Linked DNA regions of Elephas maximus indicus. The protein of the gene in region 3 interacts with the protein of the main gene of each other region in a pairwise test. Links are inferred from orthologs where the notes say so. Each region holds a gene or a part of one and is shown on either strand. Other genes may lie near its edges. The genes, in order: KCTD6, ZBTB33 and CTNND1.

What was found.
Region 1: the proteins of CTNND1 (region 3) and KCTD6 interact in binary tests that used the Homo sapiens proteins (3 or more experiments, as listed by UniProt). The two-hybrid records come from large-scale screens. The link is inferred for Elephas maximus indicus from reciprocal best matches to the Homo sapiens genes CTNND1 and KCTD6.
Region 2: the proteins of CTNND1 (region 3) and ZBTB33 interact in binary tests that used the Homo sapiens proteins (3 or more experiments, as listed by UniProt). The link is inferred for Elephas maximus indicus from reciprocal best matches to the Homo sapiens genes CTNND1 and ZBTB33.

Annotation. Positions count from the first base shown.
Region 1 is NC_064838.1:63,071,162-63,081,170, forward strand, and holds the start of KCTD6 (BTB/POZ domain-containing protein KCTD6), read left to right. Parts: upstream 1-5,819; 5' UTR 5,820-6,582; coding exon of another isoform or gene 6,583-6,642; 5' UTR 6,643-6,770; coding exon 6,771-6,998; intron 6,999-7,404; exon of another isoform or gene 7,405-7,560; coding exon of another isoform or gene 7,561-7,665; intron 7,666-8,241; coding exon 8,242-8,270; intron 8,271-10,009. UniProt on the Homo sapiens protein: Probable substrate-specific adapter of a BCR (BTB-CUL3-RBX1) E3 ubiquitin-protein ligase complex mediating the ubiquitination and subsequent proteasomal degradation of target proteins.
Region 2 is NC_064846.1:36,474,568-36,484,440, forward strand, and holds the start of ZBTB33 (transcriptional regulator Kaiso), read right to left. Parts: upstream 4,323-9,873; 5' UTR 3,954-4,322; intron 761-3,953; 5' UTR 759-760; coding exon 1-758. UniProt on the Homo sapiens protein: Transcriptional regulator with bimodal DNA-binding specificity.
Region 3 is NC_064825.1:119,133,959-119,144,007, reverse strand, and holds the start of CTNND1 (catenin delta-1), read right to left. Parts: upstream 4,063-10,049; 5' UTR 3,816-4,062; intron 1-3,815. UniProt on the Homo sapiens protein: Key regulator of cell-cell adhesion that associates with and regulates the cell adhesion properties of both C-, E- and N-cadherins, being critical for their surface stability.

The DNA.
Region 1 (10,009 bases), on a different chromosome or scaffold from region 3:
AGGAGAGAGTCAGGTTTGCACATGTTGAGGGTGAGGAGACTGGTGGTGGACCATCGGAGTATGGACTATGAGGGAGGAGAAAGCCACAAAGCCAGCCGAGCTGTATCCAAATCTCTCCTCCCACGCTCAGCTGTGTGGTTTCAATCAAGTTATTGCACCTCTCCTTGCCTTGTTTTCTCATCTGTACAGTGAGATGTTATAAAAGACCTCTTTAAAGTGTTAAAAAGCAAGGCTAAGGTGCACCTAACCCAGCCATGATGTTTTCAATTGCCTCATATGCATGCGAAAGCTGGACAATGAATAAGAAAGACTGAAGAAGAATTGGTGTCTTTGAATTATGGCACTGGCGAAGAATATCGAATATACCATGGACTGCCAAAAGAACGAACAAATCCGTCTTGGAAGAAGTACAGCCAGAATACTCCTTAGAAGCAAGGATGGCGAGACCATGTCTTACATACTTTGGACATGTTATCAGGAGGGATCAGTCCCTGGAGAAGGACATGATGCTTGGCAAAGTACAGGATCAGCGGAAAAGAGGAAGACCCTCAACGAGATGGATTAACACAGTGGCTGCAACAATGTGTTCAAGCATAACAACGATTGTGAGGATGGCGCAGGACCGGGCAGTGTTTGGTTCTGTTGTACACAGGGTCATTATGAGTGAGAACCGACTTGACGGCACCTAACAACAACAACAATGGGATGAGGAGGAGGCTAATCTGTCATCAGAGTTGCTGTGAGCTTGTGGCAGCCAGTCTCCAAGATAACTCCAATGATCACCACTCTTCCTATTCATACCCTGTGTGGTTTCCTCCCACACTGTACTGGGGTTCCTCTGTGTGACCAAGAGAATGTGGCACAAGTGATGACATGTCACTTCCGAAGCTGGTTTACAAAGACATTGTGGCTTTTCTGTTGTATTCTCTTAGATCCTTCACTCTGGGGGAAACCAGCTGCCATATCATCAGGAGAGGCCCATGAGGTGAGGAACTCATGCCTCCTGATAAAGGCCATTGTGAGTGAACTTGGAAGTGAATTCTCCAGCCCTAGTCAAGCCTTCAGATGACTGCTGCCCTGGCCAACATCTGGAGTGCAAGCTCATGAGAGACCCTGGGCCAGAACCACCTACCCAATGTGCTTTCAAATTCTTGACCTATAGACACTGTGAGATAAATCTTAAGCCCCTAAATTTTGGGGTAACTTGTTATACAGCAATGGATAGCTGATACATAAGGTAAAAGCTTTTAGCCCAGTGCATGGCACATGGTAGAGGCTATAGAATATGTGGGATCTGTAGGTCTGGAGTTACAGAATTCTGGGCTGGAGGTGTGGATTTGGGAACCTTTGGCTTAGAGAGAGTAATGGCTGAGGCAGTTCATGGGTAGGGACAGAGAAGAGATTATGGCCTGGAGGTATGGTTTTGGGAACCTTTGGTTTAAAGAGAGAAATGGCTGAGCCTGTCCACGGGAAGGGGCAGAGGGAGAGGAGATTATGGCCTGGGCCTGAAACCTGGACATAAGAGGTGGGCAAAGCAAGAGGGACATCCCTGTGAGCCTGAGTGGAGGAACTTCAGAGGAGGGAGGAAAACTGGAATAGGACGTTCTGGAAGCCAAGGGGAGTAGGCAGTGGTCAATTGCATCACTGCCGAGAGGCCTCGGTGGGGCTCTTTTCGCTTCAGCAACAACAAGGAGGTTCCTGGTGCCCCCACTGAGGACCAGTTAGGTGGAGAGGTGGATCTTGTAGCCAGGTTGAATGTTATAGGTTGGGATGTTAGGCAGAAGTCAGGAAGACAGCAAAAGAAGAAAAGGAGGAGGACACTGGAGTAGCAGCCTGGGATGGGGGGAGATAGGGTTGAGGGGGAGATCTGAAAATTAACATCAGATAGAGCCCTGAAGCTGTTTATCTGCTGGTGGCAGGGGGCCTGGAGAGACGAGGGGCTGAAGATCTGAGCCTAGAGAGGTAAATGGGCTGGAAAGTGGACAGACCCAGAGACAGGGAGGGGATCACCTGGACAGGAGGCAGAATCCCTCAGCCATCCTATGAGAGGACAGCACAATGCAGGTAAACCCAGAAGTGGGCAGAGGAGGGAGGGAGCCAGGGAGCCCCCACTGAGGATGCATCATTTTCCTGCCAAGTGGGAGGTGAGGTCACCCATGAAGAGAGAGCTGGGAGGAGGGGAAGGGGGGAGACTCAGAACTTCAGGCCTAATTTCCATCTTGGTCTGAAAGCACCAAATGGTTTTGCCAACTGCTGCCTCCCTCAGTGTCCTCCTGGGCCCCTGTGCATCTGTAGCCATGTAGCTGCCATAGTAAACAGCCCCTTCCAGGCCACCTCTTCATCACAGGAGCCTGGACACTTGAAGGCCACCTGGAAAAGAGAGGCCCAAGGTCACAGGGATGGCTGCAAACCAGAAGCTGGCTTCCTCCACAGGCTAGCAGCCCTGAGCTCTGTGGGGGTAAAACAGCTTCTAGTGTAAATCTTTTCCATCCCCACCCCTTCAAACCAAGAGATCCGGACAATTTACAGGAGAATCTCACAGAACATTCAAACCACAGCAAACCCCAGTCTTATAGAAGCTGCTCTAGTAGAGAGACCCTGATTCCTTAATTTATTTTATGAGGCTCATATAACTTTGATAGCAGACAAGGAGAGACTAAGAAAGGAAAAGAGTAGGCAAAACTCACTCATACACCCAGATGCAAAAACTTGAAATAAAATAGTAAGTGGAATTTGACAGTATATTAAAAAAAAAATACACCCTCAGGGTTAGTTTATCCCAGGAATGTATGGATGGTTGGTTTAATATACAAAAATCCATGAGTGCAATTCATTATTTTAGGGGGAAAAAACCACATTTGTTAAATTTCAACACCCATTCATAATTACACTAAATAACCCAATAGCGCTTCCTTACTCTGATAAAGCAGATCTATGAGAAATCTACCACAAACACCACACTTCATGGTGAAACATGAGAAGCAGTCAAAAACAAGACAGGAATGTACACTATCATCACTGCTACTCAACACTGTGTTGGAGGTCTTAGTGCAGTAAGACAAGGAAAAGGAAATAAAGACTGGACAGGCTAAGCTGGCAAACTGTCATTGCTTGTAGGCCCTTTGATTATTTACATGGAAAATTCAAGAGAACCTGCAAACTAATTATAACTAAAAAGAACAGTTTATCAAGTTTGCTGAGTACAAGGTCATTATATAAAGCCATTACATTTCAATAAGCCATCAATAAATTATAAAATATAAACAAAAAATGTAATTTGCAATAGCAATGAAGGCTTCATCTTGGAACAGGTGTGACAAAAACACTGCCAAAGTGAATCTCTTTCATTCTTTAATTGGGAAAACAGGAGCCTCAAGAGGGGAAGTGACTCTTCCAAGAACATTCTGGATTCTCAGTGGCACCAAATCCTGAAGATTTGAGTGCTAGGTAATTTCAGTATTGTTTTGCTTTTGTAAAAAGAAAGAAAGAAAATATAGAAAATTCAGAATATTAGGAATTAATGTCCCTCACACTCCCATCCTACAACCTAGAGAACTATGATCCATGATCTGGTGTTATTTCCTTCAAAATTTTTGTCTACCTATATTTATGTTTTAACAAGATGGATTGCCACAGTGGCTGCAACAATGGGCTCAAGCATAACAATGATTGTAAGGATGGTGCAGGAGCGGGCAGTGTTTCGTTCTGTGGTACATAAGGTCGCAATGAGTTGGAACTGACTTGATGACACCTAACAACAACAACAAATTTATGTTTTTAACATTAAAATTATACTACGTGTAACATTTTGAGTACTGGTTATTTTCACACGCATTTCCCTGAGTCCTCACGTAGTCTTTTCACACGTCAATTATGTCGGCATAACTATAACACTCAATTATGTTCCCGAAGCATGTTATTTATTTAGCCTATCAATTTGAGTTTTCTGAGAAAAACCAAGTATCAGATATGACTGTGATAGAAGTTGAAACCCAGACATGCAATTCGATGAGCTTCTGAGGCCGGTGGTTGTCCTGATGGAGACGAGGAAATGGCAAAACGAAAGCCTTATAGCTGGCCTGGCCTGGGAAAGCACAGAGATCTAGATCTAGGGACAGAAAAAGAAGGAAACAGGACTTGGGAAGAGGGGGCTGAGGACTAAGTCCATGCTTGGAGACCAGCTCGCTCTGAGGCTTTAAGTGGCTTCCCAACCTCTGCAGCCTTGTCTTTCTTCTTAGTGAAATGGAGACAATACCCCCACCAGCCTCACCTTGGGCAGCTCCCAAGCTCCTTCAGAACTCAGAGCCTTTGCACTCTTTTCTCTGCTGACAGCCCTGGTGGCGTGGTGGTGAAGAGTTCGCTGCTAGCCAAAAGGTCGGCAGTTGGAATCCATCAGGTGCTCCTTGGAAACCCTATGGGGCAGTTCTACTCTGTCCTGTAGGGTCGCTGTGAGTTGGAATCCACTGCAAGGGGTTTTGGTTTTTCTCTGCCCTTCTCCCCAACTGGCTGCCTATGCTGACCCATCAGGCCTAGCTGCCCTGCCCTGCCCTGCCCTGCCCTGCCCTGCCCTGCCCTACCCATCAGGCCAGGCTGTGGTGGCCTGGGGCTTTCTCACAGCCCATATTACACCTGTAATTATATAATAGCCAGAAGCTGCTTGAGTAAGGGTGGCCTCCCCCTGGAGGTCAGGGCCAGGAGGGGCTCACCACAGATCTGGGCATCCATGTCTTCCTTGGCCACTGCATGTGAAGCAGCGGGCCCTTCCCCTTATTTTTCATCTAAGTCCTCTGATCACACCCCTCCTATCACTTACCATAACTTGTCATTATTTTGCTTACTCTCTGTTTCCTTCAGTCTTGTCTGCTTTCTCCCCTCGCTAGGATCCACCTCTGTCTTGGTGGTCGGTCCCCCCTCTAACCCCCAGGTTTTGCACATGGTCCGAAACCAAACCAAACCCGTTGCCGTCGAGTCCTACTCATAGAGACTCTATAGGACAGAGTGGAACTGCCTCATAGAGTATCCAGGGAGCGCCTGGTGGCTTCGAACTGCCGACCTTTTGGTTAGCAGCTGTAGCTCTTAACCACCAGGCCACCATGGCCAGGGGCTTATAAATGTTCACGGAGCGACTGAGGAGAAACAACCGTGGAGCCACCAAATCTCCGTGAATGGCCGGCCTGAGGATGGGCAGAGCCCCGACTGCCCGCGGGGCGGGGCGGGGCGGGGCGGGGGGCGGGTCCTCTGGGCTATGGGGCGGAGCCATGGGGCTGCGGGGCGGGGCTTTGAGGCTGCGGCGGAGCCGGCCTGACCCAGCCGCCTAGGCCCTGCCCGGCTGAGCAACTCAGGCCCCCGGGTCTCGGGCTTCCCGCGCACTGCCGCCGCTGGGGGGCGCCCGCGCTCGAGGCGGCTCGGCTCGGGAGGCGCCGCCCGCGCCGGGCGGCTAGTGCCGCAACTCCGGGTGCGGGCTCAGTCGTCCCCTCTGCCGCCGCCGCTGCCGCCGCCGGGCGCGGGCTCGCTCGTCCCTGCGCTCGCGCTCTCGGGCCGCCGGCGTCTCCCGGCCCGGCCGCCGCCGCCGCGCAGTGAGTGGGGCGGGCACGGGGCCTGAGGGGCTGGGGCTCGGGAAGGCCGGCTTGAGGGGAAGCCCGCGGGAGCTGCCGGGAGCGGGCTGAGGAGAATCTGGGCGGGGGCGTCCGGAGCCGGGCGATGGCGGGCGGCGCAGAGGGCACCGCGGGGAGCCTGGCCGCGCGCCCCGGGGCGGCGCGAGCGCACGGAGGGGCTGCCCGCGGCCGAGCGGCCGGGCCTGGGTCTCGGCGGGCCCGGGGTCCCCGCGGTGCTGTGCGGCCCCCACCCGGCCCGGAGCATCGCCCGCCCCACGTCGGGACCGGGGTCGGCTGGGGTTTCGCCTGCGGGGCGGCGGGGACCCGGCGCGTTTGCTCGGGGTGATGGGTTTGCGGGGAGTGGCTATTAGCCGGCGCTTGCCCCACTTTAAGGCGTAGGAGCCCAGGCTTCGGGAATTTTCTGCCCCGGAGACACCCAGGTGTGCCGCTGAGCCCTCTGTGCCCAGATTTGCGGGTCTGGCGTGTTTCAAGGCTTGATGTCACGGGTGACAAATGGCCGTGGTAATCGGGAGCCCCCGAACCGCCCGCCAGGCTGACGGTAGCGGGGTCTGGGTCTGGGGGTAGGACTGGGAAGACGAAGCGTGACAGATCCTATTTGGATATTCCTCTGAAGTTAGGGTTCTGTTCAAGTCTACCGGCTCTAGAACACAGTTTTAGGACTTCGTGATAGAAGAGGTTTGGGGTGGCCTGGTTTGACGAAGAATGTTTGGGGTCACCTAGCCATTCCCATCCCTCCTGGCATGTTCATTTCTTGTGTCACAAATGCATGACACGAATGATTCAGTGATAGGAAAGAACTTAGGAACAGCATTTAGCGCAGACCTGAGCCCAAGATTGAGACGTTTCCAGATGAGCGAAGGTGTAGAAAGGAAAATAATCTTTTTGTAGTCAGGGTTGGCAGATTGGGGGAATTGGCTCTTTGGTTGAAAACATCAGCCCCAACCACTACTTCAGTTTGTGTAATCCGATGGATATCAAGGATCGAGTGGTCAGCGTGGCCATGGGTGCCGTTCCTCAATTGTGTAAGGTTAGGATTTTCATAAATGACATTTTCAGCGAAGCATTACTAGCGACAGAAATCCTAGGGTGAATCCTTCTCTGCGTCTCTCTCTTGTGTCTTTTGGATTTTGATATTTAGGGTTTATTTGAATTGGAATGCACACATTATTTCGATCTGGCTTTCCCTCAGAGATAATCCTGAGTCATGCTTTAGAGAAGTTCCTGCCATCATCAGAGCTCAGACGTCTGTCTGGTGGTCTCTGGAGAAGCTGGATCCTCCTCCTTACTGGTGGTTCTCTTTTCTGGACCTCTGGGGGAAAGAAGGACCTAGTGGCGACGGAAAGCAGATTAAGAAGCGTTTTCCTCCGTATTTGTTGTTTCCATGTAAATGCTCTAAGTTACTTGTGTTCACACTCTCTGATTTCTCAATTTACCACAGAAAATTAGTTGATGCTACTGCCACTAGTATTTTTCCACTTGTATAATACTTATCTGTTTACAAGTGCCTTTGTATTAATGATCTCACTTATTTTCTCCATTTCCCTGAAGAAGAAGGTGCGTGTAGACAGTGATTTACCTTGCAGGGTAATGCGGATCCTGATCTGTTGGTTACCTTGTAGGTCAGTTTTTGCCTTTGTGGTTGTGCCTAACATGGTGTAATTCCTTTTAGGAAGTCGATATTATCCTGTTTCTTCATCTCAAAGAAACTTAGAGTAAGGAATTTTATGATTCTGTGACTGGGGTGGCTCAGCTATCTAGTATTAAGGCCACTTTTTTTTTTTTTATCTAGAGCTGCTTTCTTCTAGACCACAGGGTTGATAGAGGAGAGAGAAAAATGAATTCGTTTTAGAAAAATATCTATTTCTGCAGTGGTATGGCTATGGATAACTTAACACTCTAATCACATTCTCCTTGTGCTTCTGGCTACTCGAGCTGGCCTGTGTGAATGTTAGCCCCAAAGACTCCTTTAGATGTCGCTGAACTAGTTACTATAAAAAGTGTTTCACTTTCAAACTCCCACCTTTCAAGAACAGAGAAACTCAACACAAAGGTAATTGAAGTATGTATAGATGGGAGAGAACTTGTCTTAGTCTTCTATTCTGAATGCCAGACCCAGGAGTTTAATAGAAAGGCTTTGAAAGGACCTCTGGAAACTTGGGAAGGTGGTAGCTAGGAGTTTTTATTATTATTTATTCACATTTGGAGATGTCTGTTGTAAGGAAGAAGTTGTTAACGCAGGAGTAGGACTTTTGCCCTAGGGAATTCTGAGTCTATAGCACAAATGATAAACCCAAAATATTTGTGTTAAATTAGCTGTTCATAACCATAAAGCCGGTCATTGCAATTCTGCAGGGATGAGGAGAATGGCATTTAGGGATTCTTAGGTTATTGTCTAAGTTATCAACATGTTGAATTGTGCATTCTTCAAATTTGCTACTTTATAAATTTTTCACAATTGCTTTTACACTCTGCACTATGTGTTTTCCTTAATTACCTGCTAACATTTACTCTGTCAGAAGTTCTGTAGTCATAATTAACTTACAAAGTTCAAACTTTCAGTGCCACTTAACGTTCCTGGGGAAAGGCCAGCGGGTCGTTTCCACAGGAATTTTTATTTGCACCGCAGGTCAGAATTGCAGGCACAGATCTTTTCAGGTGAGCTGATTTTTTCAGGGTCAGAAGCCTTTCTTTGAACTTTATAATCCTTTGTGCTTAGTTGCATTCACTGTGTTTTAAAAAGATCTTTAGTAAGGAAAGTCACTATAAAGGAAAATTTTTTTTCGTTGTTACCGTCTTAATCTTCATTCCTGGCAAATTTTCAATAGAATTTTCTTTGCCATCACCAAGTAAAACAGGCCCGTTTGATGCCCACTTCAAGATCTTCCGTCTGTTGCCTCTTGTGTTCATTTGACTTCTCATTAAGCCCTCCACTGGAGACTGTGCCAGAAGAGAGAGAAGAGGAAGAGCAAATGAATCATTTTCTAATTGTTAGCAGCTCCAGAAAATGATTTAGTATGAAAGACTGAAGCGGTTCCGGAAACCCTTTTGAATTATGTTTTATTTCACTCATCGGAGCTGTCTGTTGAGCTGTTCCCAATAGTCATCAATTCAGAGACTGGTTACCCAGCTACTGGATAACCAGGAATCTTTCTGCTTTTTTTTTGGTTTGTTTGTTTCTGTAAGTTGAAATACAATTTAAACCAATCAATACTATTTTTTTTCCTTAATGGGTCTTTAGTGAGCAATTTGTTTTTTGTACAGTTTAGTCATTGTTAATAAGTGTATTTTAATATATCTCATACACAAACCTAGGGAGTCTTTTCGGTGTTTTTTAAGAAACATGGACTACTTATATAGACTCCATAATTGCTTTCCTGAATTATAAAGCTTGAGGTTTCATTACATCTTTTTTCCGGAACCTTGCCTTTTGCTGTGGAGTAGATTTAGGGTCATCATCTATTTTTCTTTTTGTGACTGCTCGAGAAGTTATCTTGTTTTGATTAAGCAGTAGAAAAGAAAAAAAAAAGGATTAATAGGTCTTGTACAAGAGTTGTAACATTGATGGTGTCTTTTTTTTTTTTCCCCCTGTCTTTGGTCTTTCATTTCCATTTAACCAATCAGATGTTCATGGGCCAGAGTTCTTTATGTCACTTAATACAAAGGACCACAGCCATCAATCACATTAGTTAGTAGGTTCCTGCCATTTCTTAGCCTTGGAGAAATTTTTATAAACCTATTATGACTACTCACATAGACTGAGTTACTGATAAATTTGTAAATAAACCCCTGCTTTTGGTTTTAGGGTGGATAGGTAGATAGGAAACCCTTGTGGTGTAGTGGTCAAGTGCTACGGCTGCTAACCAAAGGGTTGGCAGTTCGAATCTGCCAGGCACTCCTTGGAAACTCTATGGGGCAGTTCTTCTTTGTCCTATAGGGTTGCTATGAGTTGGAATTGACTCGATGGCACTGGGTTTTTTGTTTTTGGTTTAGGGTGGATAGGTTAATGAGTCGGAATCTACTCGAGGGCATTGGGTTTTTTTTAGGTGTTAATAGATGGCTGTAGGGAATCTAAAGTTGACCCTTTCAACTTCTTGTTTCTTGGATTTTCAGCTTTCAGTTTCTACCCCATGAGGGGACTTACAGAAAGATCTAGTCTAGGAGTCAGAAAACCCAGGTTCTTGTTCAGTTACTTCCAGCTGTGGGGCCTTGAGCAAGTCAGTCTGTTCTATTTCCTAGTAATCCATGCTCATGTTATGCTTACTATAGCAGAGACGTGGGAAAAAAGCAATGCTGCCCCTGTCCATACTTAAATGGTTTCTTCATTCCAGAATCCTTTCTCAGGTTGTCCGAACTTCTGTTTGGGACTCAACTGAGCGAGCTCTTTCTCCATTTTC
Region 2 (9,873 bases), on a different chromosome or scaffold from region 3:
TTCATAGAAGTAGGAAGTTTCTGAGTCGGTGTGGTATTTGTTAAAGGGGGAGAGTTACTGCTAGCACAAGGTGCAACATCTGAAATGGCAACAGAGCCTGGGTTAGGATGGACCTGTGCATTGTTATTCGGCAACGGCTCCTTTGCAGGCAGAATCTCAGAACAGAAAATGACATCATCGTCGTCATCATCATCTGAATCAGTAACAATGATCTTTTTCGTTTCGTAATCTTCAGCAGATAAGGAAAAAGACTCTGTTATAATAGGCATTATAGTGGTCCCATTATCTTGAGCTTCATCTTTTGATTTTTGTATTTCAAGGTTCTTGTCATCAGAACCAGGAGGCACGGTTTCTGCGTTACCATCCTGAGTTGCCCCTGAGATGCTTTTAACCTGTGACAATGGGACACCAAGCTCTGCTATAAATTTAACTCCTAATAACTGCCCTGATTTAATTAACTCATCAAGTAAATCTGATCTAACACGGACAATTTTAGAACTATAGATATAATTGAGAATTTCCGCAAAAATCTCTGCTCTTATAAAGCTCAGTTCAACAACTTGCCCGGCAACTGCAAAGAGCTGATGGAAATATGTACTAGAAGCTGAAAGAATATTCCTGTGGGCCCGGAATTTTCGGTCTTCCACAATAACGGTAACGTCACAGAAGAGTCCGTGGCCACGTTGCTCATTCAAGGAGTTAAGCAGACTTCCAGAGTACTGAGTGTCTGTAGCAGAAATAAGTTTTCTACCTTCCATGCCTACAAAAGAAAGGGAGGAAGAGGGGCCAGGAGAGGGACAGGGTTAGGCAGGAAAATCAAAAGTATTTTATCATTCAGAATTTAAGCCACGGCATCATTAAATAGTTTAAGCTTTAACAGAAGGCTGGTGTTAACTTTTTGGCTTTTTATATGAATTGTTCATACTGGCTGGTTTTTGGACCACGTGTCAAATCTTATTACTTTACAGAGAAGGGCCAAACAAGCTTTAAATTGCTCTACAGATTCAAATAGTAATCTCCATAGCCACTTTCCCTTGACACTCAGATACACCCATTAACAATTTTTAAAGATTAGAATTAATTTTCTTATTCCCCAATTTTGGGTCTTCTCATTTTTTTTTTTTTTCAAAAAGATAAAAGTTAATTTTTAACTTTTTGGGGGGGTCATTTTTTAAATTGTGGTAAATATATTGGTAGGAGCCACTGCGTAGCGCAGTAGTTAAGCACTCAGCAGCTAACCGAAAGGTAGGTGGTTTGAACCCACCAGCCACTCCATGGGAGAAAGATGTGGCAGTCTGCTTCTGTAAAGATTTACAGCCTTAGAAACCCTATGGGGCAGTTTTACTCTGTCCTACAAGGTCGCTATGAGTTGGAATCGACACGACGGCAGTGGGTTTGGTTTTAGGTAAATATTTAGGTAACAAAACATTTGCCATTTCAACAATCTTCACATTTACAGTTCGGTGACATTAATTATGTTCAATTGTTCGACCATCACCCTTATCCATTCCTAAATTTTCCTGTTACCTTTAACAGAAGCTCAGTGGCCCCCAAGCCTTGTGCTTTCTTTTCTCCCTCCCTCCCACCCACCCACCCACCCCTGGTAACCACTTATACACTTGCCTACACAGATGTTTCATATAAGTGGGATCATACAATTTTTGTCCTTTTGTGACAGATTTATTTCACTCAGCATGTTTTCAAGGTTCATTTTAACGTTCTTAAAAATTTGTTTTAAGAAAAGCCTTCATCATGTACATATAGAAGTTATTTCATCTATAGTTGAATCAATTAGTCAGAAAAGCTTGGTATATATAAAACTGAATGCAAAACATATATTCTTTCTAAATTTTAACAAATTATCTTAGGAGCCTTGGTGTCGCAAGTTAAAAGCTCGACCACTGCTAACTGAAAAGTCAATGGTTAAAACCCACCAGTGGCTCCAAGGGTGAAAAGACCTGGCGATCTGCTCTTGTAAAGATGACAGCGTAGGAAACCCTATAGGGTCTCTATTAGTCAAATCAACTTTATGGCACACAACAATAATCTTATTCTTAAGAATATATTCAAAAGCTACTCCCCGCAGCCTACAACTTAATCAGCATTTAAAAACACTGATAATCATTACCCTTCAACTTCCTATTACTTTTCTGTTATTTAAATGAAGTGCCTCATCTCAATAAAATATTAAATGTCTTTCTTACTGTCTCCTCTTTCTTCATCCTTTTGCCCCTTCCCCTCACCTCTCTACCTTTATAGTCTCCAGAGGTGGAATGTTAAACACAATGCCAAGTCAACAGATGCTATTGTGAAAAGACAAAGGAAAAGGAAAGCTTACTGTTTCTCAATGCTTACTTGCATGAAAACGTGAAATACTTTATTTTCTTGGTAAAGAATTATGGGCATTGGTATGAGAACATTTTTCATATCAAATGAGGTAGTGAAGATGAAAACATTAAATTATTGGAACGGAGCAGACATTATTTTAGAAAAGGAGAGGGAATACCAGTTTATAGTATTGCCATGCATCATCCCCAAAACGCTTTTTTTTGCACTTCGCAAAAGACATTCTAACAATGATGCTGAGAGTTGTGCGGGGGAAAAAAATACACGTACATATGTATATGTGTATGTATGTATACATACATATTAGATGTTAACAATTAGTTTATTAAGTACTTTTGGCAAAGAAACAGTTCTATTAATATTCTTTCCCTTTAAAGTTACCAAAATAGTGCCACTGTCACAGTGCTTAAGTTATGTGAGTAATACTACACACGTGGAAGGTAGTGCGTCTCAAATATCTTAATTTTTCAAAATTATAGTTTAACAACAATAAATAGCAAAAAGTGTAAAAAGCAAGGATTTAAAACCTCTCTGTTAGAAGGTGTTGCTTGTTAACAGTACCAAGGAATTCCTGGTTACCATGAAGACATTCATTGGAAAGGGTGACCTTTGGACAGCGTGCCAACCACCAGGGCTTCCGAAATACGGAGATTTCGACAGAAGTCACTTTTCAAGTGGATACATTTTCTGAATACGCTCCCACAATTTCTGTCATTTACAAATGAGTTTTTCCAATATAAGCACGCGTCAAATGTATACGTCCAGGTGACGCTGAGACTTGGTTTTGTTTTATTTAGGTCTCCCCTCCTCTACGTCAGGTCAGTCAGAACCCACCCCCAAGATTTGCGACCTGATGTTGGAAAAGGCATTCTGCATCGTTGTGAGGCGAATCCTTGACCGAGGGTAGGTGAGGGAGGGGCTAGCGAAGGTGGAAAAGAGAGCGAGAAAAGCCATGGGCCAGGGGGTGAAACAATCCGACACGCGGCTCCCTGCGGCAGCTGAACCCCATCTCCCCTCCTCCACCTCCCTCTTCCCACTTTGCACCCAGCCGGCTGCAGCCGAGGTTTTGAACCTCAGTTCCGTGAAAAGACGGCTGCTCGCACAGACAGGCGGAGGTGCAAACAGCAGGGAGAATCAGGGGTGCCAGGGAAAGTAGAAGCTGGCGAACAGAAGGGTAGGGTGTTGGGGGGGGCGCGGCAAAGCAGGCGGCATTGTTAAGCCCCGGGAAGGGGGCGGAAGGGGAGGATGGGCCGGCAGAGAAGCTCGAAATCAAAGTGGGGGCTAGGAGGAGGAAAGGGGGCAGAAAAGGGCCGGCAAAGGGGCAAGAAAAGGCCGAGTGGGTGTCGGGGGCGGGCTCCCTACGCCCCGGGCCTACCCGGAGCACGGACGGCCCCTCGGGCCCTGACGGCGATGGGGACCGCGCCGCGGCCCTCCTGGTTCATCCCCTCCTTCACTCCGGGGCCCACACAAAGAAAGGGCCAGAGAAGGGGAGCTTCTGGCCGGCGCTTCCTGGTTCAAGAGAGGAGAATGCAAACGGCAGCGCGGCCCAGGGACCGAGGAAGCAGGCGCGCTCCTCCGCCCCTCCCGGACTGGGGCCGGCTCCTCACCTGCTTCCTGGCGCCGCCGCTTCTTCTCGGGCCGCGCGGAAGGGTGGGAGTCCGCCAACAACAAGAAGCGGGACTCCCCGGCGATCCTGCTGCTGCTTTAAACGTCGCTCCAGTCTTGGTCGACGTCGACGCTGCTGCCGCTGCCACAGCTGCCCCAAGCCGCCGACAGAGGGCTCAACGCGGGGGTGAAGCGTTGAACTTAAAGGCTCCCTCCTCCTCCGGGCGCAGTTCGGGCCCTTCCGGAAAGGCCCGAACCCTAGGTGGCTCCCCTTCGGCGCGCTACTCGGCTTTCGGCTCTTTCCGGAAGGGGCGGAGGAAGACTGGGAAACTGTTGGAGTAATCTCCTTTTTCCGGAGGGCGAAAGGGTGGGAAAAAGGAAGAGGAAAAGACAGGATAATGCAGTCGCAAGCAGTTGGGATGGGAGGGAATCTTGTCGCTTTAATCTAAAAGGCACTGTAAACTTCTAGGGCCCAAAAACTTTTAGACCCTATACAATTTTCATTTCTGTTGCAAGTTTGAAACTGCTCTATTAGCCTGTTTGCTGCATAATCCACATTACCGTGCAGTCCATTCCGAATCTTTGCGACCCCATGTGTTACAGAGTAGAACTGCTCCATAGGGTTTTCAAGGTTGTAATCTTTACGGAGGAGCCCTGATGGCAGAGTGGTTAAGACTGGGCTGCTAACCAAAGGGTGGGCACTTGAAATTCATCAGCCGCTCCTCGGAAACCCTATGGGGCAGTTCTGCTCTCCTGTAGGGTCACTATGAGTCAGAATCTACTAGACGACAACAGGTTAATCTTTTCGGGAGCAGATTGCCAGGCCTTTCTTCTGTGGTCCCACTGGGTGGATTCAAACTGCCCATCTTCAGGTTAGTACAACGAGTGCAAACTATTTGCACCACCCAAGGACCTTGTTTCCTGATAACCACCTTGAAGTATAATCTGAATAAATATAATCAAAATTTATCAACACATTATGATAATTCAAGTTCTAGGATAACAAAACAACTACATTATAGTAATTACTTTTAAGATAAAAAGTTAGTGTTTGAACAAGTACTGTCTTCTTAATTGAGTACCATATGATGCAACTGTTTACTGACCACCTGCTTGTTGTTGTTCAGTAATTCTTAAATGAGTGAACAAATGAGTTGTGAGATCCATCATTTTAAAAAAATCCTTTGGCAACACACTTCTGACTGAATACCATGATGAATGAAGCAACAGGATGGATATTTGGAGAACAAACTATTTCCCTTTAGGCTTGGTATTGATCATATTCAGCTAAGGAACCAGATAGCAGCTTCTTCTGCAACAATTAAGGCCACTCACTACCTCCATTTCCTTTTTCCAAAGATATGTATAGAATAATATTGCATACGTTTTCAAAAACTTGAATTTGCACCTATTTGCCTTTTAGTTGGAATCTCTGTGCTTCTTTTTTATAAAAATCTTGCTGAAAATGTCCATCTTTCAGTAGCTATAGGGTTGCTATGAGTCGGAATCGACTCGATGGCAGTGGGTTTGGTGGTGGTTTCAGTAGCTTAGTTGACCAAAACTAAAAATGAGACAGAGTTGCTGGGTGACACAAGTGGTTACATGCTCAACTACTGAAAAGTTGGTAGTTTGAATCCACCCAGAGACACCTTAGAAGAGAGGCCTGCTTCGGAAACGTCACAGCCTGGAAAACACCACAGAGTGCAGTTCTCCTCTGCCTTGAGTGGGATTCAACTGCCATGGGATTGCCTTGAATGGGAATCAACTCAACAGTAACTAAAAACAACAGGTGAGGTACAATGAAAACCTGTTCGTTCACAGTACAGGACACCTCTTCCCCACTGGTCATATCCCTCACCCTCCTCCAACACAGCAAAAACTAAACTAAAAAAAAAATTAAAAAAAGAAACCCATTGCCATCTAGTTGATACAGAATCATAGCGACCCTATAGGAAAGAGTAGAACTGCCCCATAGGGTTTCCAAGGAGTAGCTGGTGGATTTGAACTGCCATCCTTTTGTTTAGCAGCCTTAGCTCTTAACCACTGCCCCACCGGGGCTCCAAATTAAAACCCCAGAAAGCCAAACCTATTGCCGTCGAGTCAATTTTGACTCATAGCGACCCTATAGGACAGAGCAGAGCTGCCACATAGAGTTTCCAAGGAGTGCCTGGTGGATTTGAACTGCCACCCTTTTGGTTAGCAGCCATAGCACTTAACCACTACACCACCAGGGTTTGCTAAACTAAAAAAGCTGTCTATAATTAAAGGGAATCTAATGATCATTTTTTTTTAATGATCAGGAAAAAAAATTTTTTTAATGATCAGGAAAGGAATTTTATTTGTAGGAAAGCAGAGCAGATCAAGAAACTTGAGTGGCCCCAATAATTGTCTTTGGGACAGGATCATTGGAAAGTTTTGTTAACTTTCTACTTCTCCACAAGTTTACTAGTGAGCAAGATAATTCACTTTTCACTTTCTTTTTATCTGTAGGCTTAACCCTCTTTCAAATAACCCAGTAGATTTTAAAGAGAAGAGCCTATGTTAAATGGATTTGGAGATAGCAATTGTTTCATATTCCAGAAAGGTTTTTAATTGGCAAATAATGGATCAGTCAGGTTTTATAACCGCATTGTCAGTGTTTGCTTGTCTTGTTTGAACTTGGTTGTGAATTCCATGAGGGTAGCAACTGCCCTCTCCTGTGGTAAAATGCCAAGAATCTTGCAGGTGCTTAATATATACACATATATATATATGTATATGTATATATATATGTGTGTGTATATATATATTAATTGTTGGTGATGAAAGATTCAAAATGGCATTAATTCAGTCCCAGAACCCTTCCTCTGAGCTATGCTTAGGGTCACAGATTTGGTAAAGCCACTAGAAAATTATAAGAAGAAACCCCTGTATGGTATGATGGAAAAAACAAAGGCTCAAGGGGCAGATGTGGGTGGTTTAGAATTCTGGTGTGTCATATGCTACTACTGTGACCTTGCTCCTGGTCCATCATTTGTAAAGTAGGGATAAAAATACAACTATAGGGTTGTTTTGAGGATTAAATGAATTAGCTAAAGTGTCAAACTGCTTACAGTTCCCAGAATATGCCATGCTGTTTACTGCATCTATGTCTGTGCCTGTAACTCTGAGCCTGGAATAGCCATTCTATTCTTATCCACAATTTGCCTCTCCTGTTGTCTGGCAAGTACCTGATCTTCCATAAAGACCCAACTCAAGCATTAAATTATTATTATTATTTTTATAGACTGTACGTGTATTTTGTACCAGGGTATAACCCACTCCACTACTGCCCCAGGGTATAGTGAAATTGAAAACAAACTTTTAAACATCTGAATATTCTTCCCTTGATGCTGACCTCTCTTCTAGAGCATGATTTTACTTGCTCGTTACATTCAAAAATGTCCATTCAGAATTTGGAATTTTTGTTTTTTATTGTGCTTTAGATGAAGATTTACAGAGCAAATTACTTTCTCATTAAACAATTAATACACATATTGTTTTGTGACATTGGTTGCCAACTCCATGACATGTCAACGCTCTCCCATTCTCGACCTTGGGTTCCCTATTATCAGCTTCCCTCTCCCCTCCTGCCTTCTCATCCTTGCCCCTGGGCTGCTGTGCCCATTTATTATTGTTTTGTTTTATGGGCCTGTCTAATCTTTGGCTGAAGGGTGAACCTCAGCAGTGACTTCAGTACTGAGTTATAAGGGTGTCCGGGGGCCGTACTCTCAGGCTTTCTCCAGTCTCTGTCAGACCAGTATGTCTGATCCTTTTTTTTTTTTGAGTTAGAATTTTGTTCTACGTTTTTCTCCAGCTCTGTTCAGAATCCTTTCTTGTGACCCCTGTCAGAGCAGTTGGTGGTGGTAACCAGGCACCATCTAGTTGTTATGGACTCAGCCTGCTGGAGGCTGTGGTAGATGTGGTCCATTTCAAGCCTTAAATTATTTATGAAGCCTTCCTGACCCAATAAATGGTAGATCGCTGTCATGGATTGAATTATGACCCTCCCCCCCAAATTGTGTATCAATTTGGCCGGGCCATGATTCCCGGTATTGTGTTATTTTCTTACATGTTGTAAATCCTGCCTCTGTGATGTTAATGGGAAAACCCTGTTTGCGTAGTGGCTAAGTGCTACAGCTGCTAACCAAAAGGTCAGCAGTTCAAATCCTTGGAAACTCAATGGGGCAGCTTTACTCTGTCCTATAGTGTCCCTAGGAGTTAGAATCTACTCCACGGCAATGGTTTTTTTAATGATGTTAATGAGGGGGGATGGGCAGCAGTTGTGTTAGTGAGGCAGGACTCAGCCTACAAGATTGGATTGTGTCTTGAGGCAATCCCTTTTGAGACATAGAAGAGAATGAACAGAGAGACAGGGGGACCTCATACTGAAGCCATCAACTAATAGGTTCTTGTGAAGCAGAATAGCGAATTGAAGTCAGCCAGACGCAGGGTTGGAAGAACAGAAAGGTTTATTCACAGTTTGCAAACTGGGAGGCAGGCAGGGAGGATCTGCTGACCTAAGGCTGTCAGCTCCCCAAAGCAGGGCACATTTACTCCTTTTATAGGTGACATACATATGCATGAACAGCAAGTGCAGAATCTTTAATCTTCTGATGTGGGTGCAGTCCACATAATTTTAGTGAATGAGTTTTATGCATGGCTCTAAAAATACTGTGCAGAGCCCTAAAAAAATGGAGACTGCTTGCTACTGCTACCCCAGGAAGGTCATATAGTGGGTAAATTTAGAGTCAGCGCACCTGCACCTCAACCTCCTGTCAGGAGAAGAGAAGAAAGGGGGATTTGAGCAATCCTGATGAAGTGCTGTAAAAGTTGTAACAAAAATGTAGCAAAAGTAGACTTTTCTGAAAACAACTATTATGGGATGGTTAATAACCCTTTCATGACTGCCTGTTTCGATACCACCAAGAAAGCAGTACTGGGAGCGGAGTGTGACCTGGGGTCCCTGTATGAAGACACTCCTAGTCTGAGGGAACGTTGATGAGAAGGCTGACAGAGAGAGAGAGAGCCTTCCCCTGGAACTGATGCCCTGAATTTGGACTTTTAGCCTACTTAACTGTGAGGAAATAAACTTCTCATTGTTAGAGCCATCCAATTGTGGTATTTCTGTTATAATAGCACTAGATGACTAAGCCCCCACGTGTCTGTCAGTTTGTCATACTGTGGGGGCTTGCGTGTTGCTGTGATGCTAGAAGCTATGCCACCGGTATTCAGATACCAGCAGGGTCACCCATGGAGGACAGGTTTCAGCTGCGCTTCCAGACTAAGACAGACTAGGAAGAAGGACCTGGCAGTCTACTTCTGAAAAGCATTAGCCAGTGAAAACCTTATGAATAGCAGCGGAACATTGTCTGATATAGTTCTCGAAGGTGAGCCCCCCAGGTTGGAAGGCACTCAAAAGATGACTGGGGAAGAGTTGCCTCCTCAAAGTAGAGTCAACCTTAATGACGTGGATGGAGTAAAGCTTTCAGGACCTTCATCTGCTGATGTGGCACGACTCAAAATCAGAAGAAACAGCTGCAAACGTCCATTAATAACGGAACCTGGAATGTACGAAGTATGAATCTGGGAACGTTGGAAATCATCAAAAATGAAATGGAACACATAAACATCGATATCCTAGGCATTAGTGAGCTGAAATGGACTGGTATTGGACATTTTGAATCGGACAATCATATAGTCTACTACGCTGGGAATGACAGCTCGAAGAGGAATGGTGTTGCATTCATCGTCCAAAAGAATGTTTCAAGATCTATCCTGAAGTACAACGCTGTCAGTGATAGGATAATATCCATATGCCTACAAGGAAGACCAGTTAATACGACTATTATTCAAATTTACGCACCAACCACTAGTGCCAAAGATGAAGAAATAGAAGATTTT
Region 3 (10,049 bases):
TCGAACTCATGTTTTTATTAACAAGTGTAAAAAACACTTTCAACACAGCGCTGAGAGCAACACTTCCATGCTGCCACCTAATATGTTCTTGGCGACCAGTACCTCTCCTGTAGAAAATGGATACATTTAAGGTTTTCACGGGTTCAATGATCCAGTAAGGTATGCTGACCACTTCCTTTATTGGACCTGAGCCAACTAGGATTCTCACTGTTTACACTATTCTTTGGACTGCTTCTCCTGAAAGGAAGCAGGATTGAGGACAAATTAAATTTTTCAGTTTATCAATAATTTCCAGAAACTTTGCTCAAAAAATAGAAGGGAGGAGACGTGTGAAAGAAAGGCTGAAACTACAGACTAAAGCAAAAGTTTCAAAATTACAAGTTTATTAATCTATATTGTTTTGCTTCCCAATCTCAACTTCCTTTCAGCCTTGACCCACAAAAATCTCTGATTCTCATCAAGTGCCTTATTTAACCAAGGCTTACTAAGCACTTCGCTTAGTGTACCAGACGTTAAGATAGGTGCTAAAAGGATACAGAGATAACACAGTACCTACACTCAAGCGGAAGCCCTGGTGGCATTGTGGTTAAGTGCTACAGCTGCTAACCAAAGGGTCGGCAGTTCGAATCCACCAGGTGCTCCTTGGAAACTACGGGGCAGTCTTACCCCGTCCTATAGATAGGGTCGCATAGGGTCGCTATGAGTCGGAATCGGAATCGACTCAACGGCACTGGGTTTGGCTTTTTTTTTTTTACACTCAAGTAGCTCACATTATAGTAGAAAAGTCAAAAATGAGTAGACAATTATAATACAGTACAATACATACACTACCTGAACTACCTGCTATAAGACTCTCCTAGCAAATTGGCAAAATCGTTCCAAACCACATGCCTGAAAATCCTCTGAAAAAAGAAAACTCCATCGATGATCAAATGACTTTGAGGCATTTCTGGGGAGTTTAAGAAATTAGGACAGTAATGGTACATATTTGGAAAGATCTGTTCCAAAAAAATTAAATAATATCCACTCTAGCATATCTAGCCGCCATAGGCTTTAAGGAAAACAGATCTTTTACATACATTACCCCAACCTGGAAGACTAGCAAAGACTAGCAAGGGCTCATTTTAGTTCTGGCTGTTTTTCTCTAGAGAATGGCAATGTATTAGTGGTTAAGTCCATGGACTTTGTAAAGATTTTCAACAAACGTCAAGTTTCTCTGAGGCTCAGTTTTCTTAAAAAACGGATGTTGTAGGGAATTAATAGTACATGTAAAATGCTAGCCATAGTTCTTCAAAAAAAAAAAAAAAAGGTGGGTAGGTTAGTAACGGGATCATCAGGTACCAAAATAGAAGGCAATAAATTATACGGAGGTAATCATTTTGTTATTCCAACTGATAGTGATCTATGTTTAATTTATCTGTATCCATCCTATCTCACCACCCCTAGAGAGCAAATACCTCATATACCTAAGGCTGGATTGAAATTGCTTGGAGTTTTGTTTGTTTTTTTAATAGGTCTCCCATAGTCCCAATTTTGTGCTAGCTGAGAGATCATGTTCTCGTCTGACTCTCCATAAATGGAACCCTAAGAAAGAAACTAGAACTCTCACCTCCCAGAAGGCACCCATCCCACCTGGAACACATGTAACAAAGGAACCAACAGTCTATAGGAGTCAAACGAGGAAAGGACAATCTGCATAACTCATATTTGTCTTCATTCTTACCCCAAAAGCAAAACGAGGAGCAAAACAAAACAAACGCATGTGTGTGTGTGTGTATATATATATATATATACATGTAAAAGATTTACTTATCCCCACCCCATACTATATTTCCCGAAAGAACTAATGGAAGTGAGGTAAAAGATAAATATTCCCTCTTATCACCCAAAAGGCTCTATACTACACACCAGTCAAAGCAAAGCCTTCAGTTGGTAGAAACGGTTCTGGATGCTTGTTATCTAGGATACTCCATACAAAGCCCAGTATTTAAAGCCAGACCCAAATCACCACCACTCAGTCATCCAGAACCTATTTTCAAATTGCCTTTGTACTCCTTCAGATTCCCTCATCCCTCCCCCTAAAGGCTGAGTGGGAAACCGACACTCTGGCAGCAACATGACCAACCTTCCAAAGACCAACAAGAAACCTCCCTAGGCTGGTGTCAAGGCAAATAGAACACTGGAAAGAAAATTTAGAAAATATTAAACAAGAACTCCAGCCCAACAGATTGTACACGTTGTCTTTTTTTTTTTAACTGCACTTGGTACAATTATGAGATCGAGGCATTAAACCTTTGCTATAGTCCTTGTGTAGATTGTATCAAAAAGAGGAACAAAGTTCTGTTTCCTCTGAAACCACAACGTTAGAAGGATGAGTCATCTTTCAAGAAATACCCTCATTCTATTAAAAAGAAATCCAAGGAAGTGTTCTAGAATTGGGAAGCAGGGGGTAGAATCAGGGAATTATTAAAGATACATGCCAGCTTAAAGCTAATGAGCAGTCTACACATTAAGGCCCATCTTGTTACCATTAGAGCAGTATCTATTCCAGCTGTAATTTTCAGACTGATTAGCATTTTCAGAGACAGAAGGAAGAGAACGTCCCACTTTTCAGCTCTTCATGAGCTACCTATATAACTCTCTAGAACCAGTATTTTTGTAAGAATATATTTGCAAAAACAAAACAAATCCTAAGATTAAGTATAAGAAAGCAGACATGGGCCTTCAGCTCTTACACATTTCTGATTTCATGGTAAATTAACCAGACAAAAAACTCACCTCCAAAAAACAACTTTCTGTTTGGTTTAAAAACAAATTCTCCTTGGGCTTTCTCAAATGCATTTTAAACACTAAAGTTTGTTTAAGTGGTTTCTCTTAATCTAACCTTATTTAATCCGTTGCCCTCTCAGAGAGCACAAAGCTGAAAATACTTTCAGGTGTGTTGTTACTTTACTCAGGTGAACTAAAAGGCATGATTAGAATTTCCTTATCCCTTTAAGCACATATACCAAACGTTTATCGTATTTGCAGATTTAACATACAACACCTCCACAAATCTCTGCCATCAAAGGAGTTGTAGGAGGAAGGCGGGGATGGCAATTCAGTTAACATGGAACCATTTGTTTTCTTTTATAAGGCAAAACAGGGAGGCTCCGTCTAGCAGGAGTAAGGCTCCCACCCACCGCACCTGGAAAAGTAAAAGGCGGATCCACCCAGGAACAGCAGGGCAGAAACCGATCTGGGCCGTTCAAACTCTCCGGGGAGAAAACACCACCATTTACACTGCAAAGCTCCCTGCAACTTTCCACTTCCACAAATTCAACGATAAAAGAACAAAAAAAGAAGTTCTGAAACATATGAAGAACCATCTGTAAAACTAGCTCCCAACCCGGACAAATTCCTTTCCCAACCCACACGCAACATGCCAAAAAACCAATTTTTGGTTTGGGCTCTGAGCACAGAACTATGTTAGCTAAATCCAGAAAAAAAAAAATACAAAATCAAAGAACACACAAAAATGTAAATTTACAGAACTGCTCTTACCCCTCTGGATCTAGAGTCTCCTTGTATTAGAGAGACCTAGAAGTTTGTTTCCAGGTCTTGCATATTTTGCCTTTTTTTAATATTACTAAAATACTAAAATCTCCCAAAGTACTGAAGGTAGAAAGAAAAAGATAATTGCTTAAAAGTCACCCCTCAGCATAGCAGACTCGCTCTCGTTTTTAAATTCCCTCTGGTTACCATAAAACAAAAATTCGACTGGTTTACCCTCCGTTCCCCTTCTGTAACACATTTTTGTTTTAAAAGGCACACACCTCAAACGTGGACTTCTATAAACCAATCCTTTTAGAAAGAAACCCAAGGCTTCGCCAATGTGCTGAGAAAGACAAATCCAGGAAGGCAGTTGATTTTTCGCCACCTCTTCCTCCTTTCAGGATCTTTCCTGCTCTTCTTTCTCTCTCTCCCTCTCTCTCTTTTTTTTTCTCTCAGATCCAACACCTAAAATGGAAGTTGCACCCAGCCAAAGGCAAGGGAGCCTGGGTGGTGACAAACTGATCTGGCAGCCCTACCCCCTCGCTTTCCTAAGTGATGTCAGCCCCTGAGAACTTCCAATAGGAGCCAGGCATAAATCAGGGAGCTGACCTTATCCAATAGGAAACTTTATTATAGGAAATTAAAAAAAGAGAGAGAGGAGGAGAGAAAGAGACAGGGGGAAGTTATACATATATATATATTTAAAGCAGAGACTATACAATCTCCGAGGAATTACTGCAGAGCTTCGGGGGGGCGGGGGGCGAGGGAACAAGGGCTTCTAAGAATGGCACATCCAAGCCAGTTATCTTTGATGGTTGGGTTCTTGCTCCCTCTCCCTTCCTTTCCAGGTGGGGAAACAGAAAAGAGCTGATTTTATTTGCCTGCTGGTGTTTCATTTGTTGCTTTCTACCTCAAAGGAAGACCGGAAGGGAAGGAGAGACAAATCCTCACAACAGGACTACTGTGTGCCAATGGGATGGGGAGGGGATATCTGGGAGGTAAACTCTCAATTTCAATGTTTTGGTTTAATTGCATTAGAGCTAATTAGAAAAAAATAAATGCTTGGGCTTGTTAACAGTGTTTAGTCTCTACAGTTTCAACTAGAAGGGCGCTGAATCCACTGGGCTGCTAAGTAATATCACTGTGTTCCCATTTGACCCCAAATCAAAATAATGTGGGTTTGAGAGGAAAAGTAAACGGAATCCAATACTGAGCAATATATTTAGAGGGAATACAGCATGTATAAGGAAGACCAAGTCTCACGTGAAGAAAATTCTATTTCAGTGTGAACTCCAAGCTCAAGATGATGTTCATACATTGTCTTTTGACACTTGACCTGAATAAAGGACTATAGGGGTATTCCTCTTCTGAGTTAAGAGATATTCTTAATATGTCCTTAGACTGTAAGACCATGAAGGGCAAGGGCTGAATTTTTTTTTAAATATGGTTGACAAAGATTAGTATTTTACCATCATTCAGTGACTAATGATGAATTAAGATTTCCTTTTTCTTTCTTACTGAAGAATCTCAAACTCTGCCCTGTAGACTGCAGCCAAATTAATCTTTTTCATAAAGTTTTCACAATCTATAATAGTGGTTAAGAGCATAGGTTCTGCAGGTAGACCACCTAGCTTCAAGGTCTATCTCTGTAAGTACACGTATTTACTCGACTAAGTGTACTGCTATGTGACCTTGGACGTGTTAGATAATCTCTCTGAGCCTCAGTTTCCTTAACTATAAAATGGGGATAATAACTGTATATCTCTCACAGGATTACTGTGAGAGTTAAAGTTCTTAAACAATGTATGGCATATAGTATAAACTCATTAAGAATGAGTTATTATTACTACCCTGTCCAAAAACTTTCAATGGCTTACCATTGCCCAATAATAGCAACCAATGATTGACAGTCTATCATGTAAGAGGCACTTTGCACTCATTGTCTCGAATGTCTAAAACAGCACAATGGAGATAGTATTACCTCCATTTTATAGATAAGAAATCAAGGCTTAGCAAGGTTAAGCAACTTGCCTGAGCTCATGTGGTGAAGAAGTGAACCCCTCATCAATCTGACTCCAAAGCTGTGCTCTTTCCATCACCTTACACTGTCCTAAGGATAAAGGCCAAATTCCTCATCTGCTTTCATGGTATCACATTTATTCTTTCAATACATTAAAGTAACACTATTAACTATGATCTGACCTTTCCTTATCGGTCTAAACAGGAATTCCACTCCCCCTCAGCATGACTGTGCCCTTCTAATCAAGCTGATGTAGTCATTAGCTAACTCCCCCCCCCCCATATTTGGTATAGATTCTCATAAACCAAAAACCCACTGCTGTCAAGTTGATTGCAACTCGTAGTGCCCCACAAGGTTTCCAAGGGGCAATTGGTGGATTCAAACCATTGACCTTTTGGTTAGCTCTTAACCACTGTGCCATTACGGCTCCTTAGAGTCCTACAGACCCTCATATTTGGCCTGTAGTGGCCCAAAACGATTTCTTTCAGAAGTGTTGGAAGATCAACCACGCATCACAGCACTTGTTTGACGAGCTTTAAACAAAGAATAGTAGGAAATGAGTACATTATAACAAAGAATAAATAGTCCTTAACACATAATCTAAGAATCTTCTCTCATATCTTCTACCTCTAAACCAAAAAAAGAAACACATCCACTGTCTTCAAGTCAATTGCAACTCATAGCAACCCTAGAGGACAGAGTAGAACTGCCCCACAGGGTTTTCAAGGCTGTAAATCTTTACAGAAGCAGACTGCCACATTTTTCTCCTGAGGAGCGGCTAGTGGGTTCAAACTGCCAACCTTCTGGTTAGCAGCTGAGTGCTTTAACCACTGCGCCACACGGGCCCCACTTCTACCTCTACTCTCCATCTATTCCTGGTTCTCTATAAACCAAAACCTGTTGCCATTGGGTCGATTCTGACTCACAGTGACCCTATAGGACAGAGTAGAACTGCCCCATACAGTTTCCAAGGAGCACCTGGTGGATTCAAGCTGCTGACCTTTTGGTTAGCAGCCACAGCACTTAACACTACACCACCAGGGTTTCCTGGTCCTCTATAGCAAGTTCCAAAGCCAAAGATGATAATCAAAGGAAACAATCAGAAAGAGAAATGTTTGTTTATTCATTGGTTCCTAGATGACAGCCATATTTTATACAGAATTTTCTAGAGCTTGATTAAAAAAAAAAAACCCAAACCCACTACCATTAATTCTGACTCACAGCGACCCTATACCCACTCCACTGCAGTTGAGTTGATTCCGACTCATAGTGACCCCACAGGACACAGTAGAACTGCCCCATAGAGTATCCAAGGAGCGCCTGGTAGATTTGAACTGCTGACCTCTTGGTTAGCAGCCATAGCACTTAACCACTATGCGACCAGGGTTTCCCAGTGACCCTATAGGACAGAGTAAAACTGCTCCACAGGGTTTCCAAGGAGCAGCTGGTGGATTTGAACTGCTGACCTTTTGGTTAGTAGCCCAGCTCACTGTCGAGACGGATTAGTCTTGTTTACTTCTTACACATGTCATTACTCAAAACTTTCAAGTATTTTGTCTTTTTTTTCCATGTTTTTATGTGTGTGTGAATGCATGAGTATGTTTTCTTGTCTCTCCCCCAAAAGATGAGTCCATAAAGACACGGCCACTGTCCTTCTTGTTCATGGTATATCCCTAGAGCTCAGCCTTATATCTCATATTTAGCAGTAGCTGAATGAGTGAATGAACTCTCTTTTGCTTACTAGTTGTATAATTCTGGACAAGTCATTTAGTATTAATAAATTTGTACATAACATTCAAAATGAAATGATACACAAATCAAAAAAAGATAATTAAATGGTAAAATTTAAATTTATTTGAAACAGCCATCTTCAAATAAAGCATCACGAGTATTAATACTCACTGACTGAGGGAAAAATTATTTACACTCAGTTAATAGGAAATAAAAAGACTAGTTCCACTTGGGTTATTTTGAGCAGCTACTTTGAGTCAGGTACTCTTCTAGATGTGGAGAATGATAAGATAGGCAAGTTTCCTGCTCTCTTAAATCTTACCTTCTGGGGTGGGGGGTGCTGTGAAGAGAAGATTAATAAGTAAGATAATGTCGAATGGAATGCTATGCAGAAATTTAAAACAGATTGATGAGAATCTGTTGGGAATGTGAATGACTTGGGGCTTACTCTAGATTGGCTGTCAGAGACAAACTCTGAAAGGGTGACATTTAGGTTGAAATTTGAGTGATAAATACAGGTCAACCACTAGAAGAAAAATATGAGCAGTAAGCAGAGGTAACTGCTAATGACAAATCCCTGCAGTGTGGGGCTGAAACATACTAGGCCAGGCAGAGCATGTTGGAAATGAGGACGGGGGAGAAGTGGGATCAGAATATGAAGCAGCGAAAACAAGAGAGACCCTTAACGAGATGGATTGACATAGTGGTTTCCACAATGGGCTCAAGCATAACAAAGATTGTGAGGATGGCATTGGACTGAGCGGTGTTTCGTTCAGCTGTACATAGGGTCACTATGAGTCGAAACTGACTCCACGGCACCTAACAACAACAACATGGGTCAGAGGGGAAGCCCTGGTGGTACAATGGTTAAGTGCTCGGCCACTAACAAAAAGGATGGCAATTCAAACCCACCAGCCCCTCCTCCAGAGAAAGATGTGGCAGTCTGGTTCCATACATATTACAGCCTTGGAAACCCTATGTGACAGTTCCACTCTGTCCTATAGGGTCACTGTGAGTTGGAATCAATTCCACTGCAATGGGCTACAACAGGCTATGATCCAACTCACATTTTGAAAAGATTTGGCTGCTTATATAACAAGTTAAAGAGGGTCAAAAGTGAAAGTAAGTCAGCTAGTTCAAAGGCTGTTGCAGTGGTCAAGTTACAGAGATAGGGAAGTAGATGAAGGTGGTAGCAGTCAAAACAGAGGGAAGACAATGGGTTTGAGGATATGTTTTAGAGACACAGGGTTGTTTTTTGTTTGTGGAATTTTTTTTTCTTTCTTTCTTTTTGCATGCTTTGCTTTGCATTGCTTTGCTTTGTTTTTAAAGCATGAAATATTACATTCAGTGCTTGGTTTTACAACCCTCAAAGTTTAACTTCCCCACCTACCACCATCACCACATACACACACACACACAAAAAAAAAAAAAAAATACCCTAAAATGGTGAAAAATTAGGGAAGAACTGAGAGAGATTTAAATTATTGTATCATGCAAAGTGCTGTGCTATGCTGAATCTACTTCTAAAACTATAAATATCAAGGAATAGAGATGAAAACAAAATCAACTCCACAGAAACACTGGCCATCCACACGAAGGAAAACAAAATATTTTTACTCCTTTCTACCCTCTGGTGGCTGGCTACACGTTATCATCCAAAGTTTGTCATTCTTGAAGCTCTGGAATGGCCATTGATCGTTTCCCTTAGAAATTCTACTAATACAAAATTTAGCTACAGTGGTGGTGGATTAAAAAAAGAAAGAAAAAAAAAGGGATTCTTCCCCACTTCTTGAAAATTAATTTCATCCTGATGACAATATATTTCTGAGGGGATATAGTATACCTATTTTTTCTTACCACTTCCACAGACTCACCTATATGGGACTCCACCTACTGAACTAAGTCTTGATTCTATAGGAACGGATGCCATGAACAAGTACTGTTCTGCCGTCAGCTTTTTTCCTTTATACTGTTAACAACATCTAAAACCTGCCCTCCTCTTGCTAAGTTTCATGTCCTTTCACGAATTGCTTCCTCTTTAAACTATGACAACTGCAGCTGAAAATCTTCTGCTCCTTTTATTCTTCTGGCTTAAGAAAAAAGGCCTCAAACTAGGAGAACTACTACTTAACTTGGAGGTGCGCCCGTCCTCCCATATTTGGGTCTGCCATCTCAAATCCTTTCTGAAAAGGGGTCAGATAGCAATTATCAACGAAGACATACTTGAGTACTTTGTACTACTCACCTCTCTACTTTTCAGGTCCTCCTTTTCTTAGGCATCTGCCTCTTCTCCTTCCAGTCGGCCTCAGGGTGGGCTGCTATTTAGATTTACCACGCTATGCTACCAGTGTCTTCGGATTCAGACATTTTTTTCAGGGTACAACACCTGAAGGGCAGGACCGGAAGTCAGGCTCCGGGTCCTAATGCGCACAGCGGAAGCTCTGGCCAGGAGGTTTCTAGCGCGGGTTGGCATTCTAAATGTTTAATCTTGCAATCCCTTAATTTTTAGTATCGTCCGTGAAAACAGCTATTCCCAGTCAGGAACTGCGCTAAACAAATCACCTCTAAACAGACCCCAGCGGCCACTCCTGAGGGGATTTCTGCAACCCTCTTGGTCACCAGTTCTCCGAGATGTGGAATCAGTAAAAAAACTGAATTGAGAAAGTAGCCCAACGACCTTGTTCCGGAATATTCCCTGACCTTGGGAGATATCTAGATTAGAATATGGGGGCTTTTTCTTCCATTAAGCCTGGAGAGTTCTTAG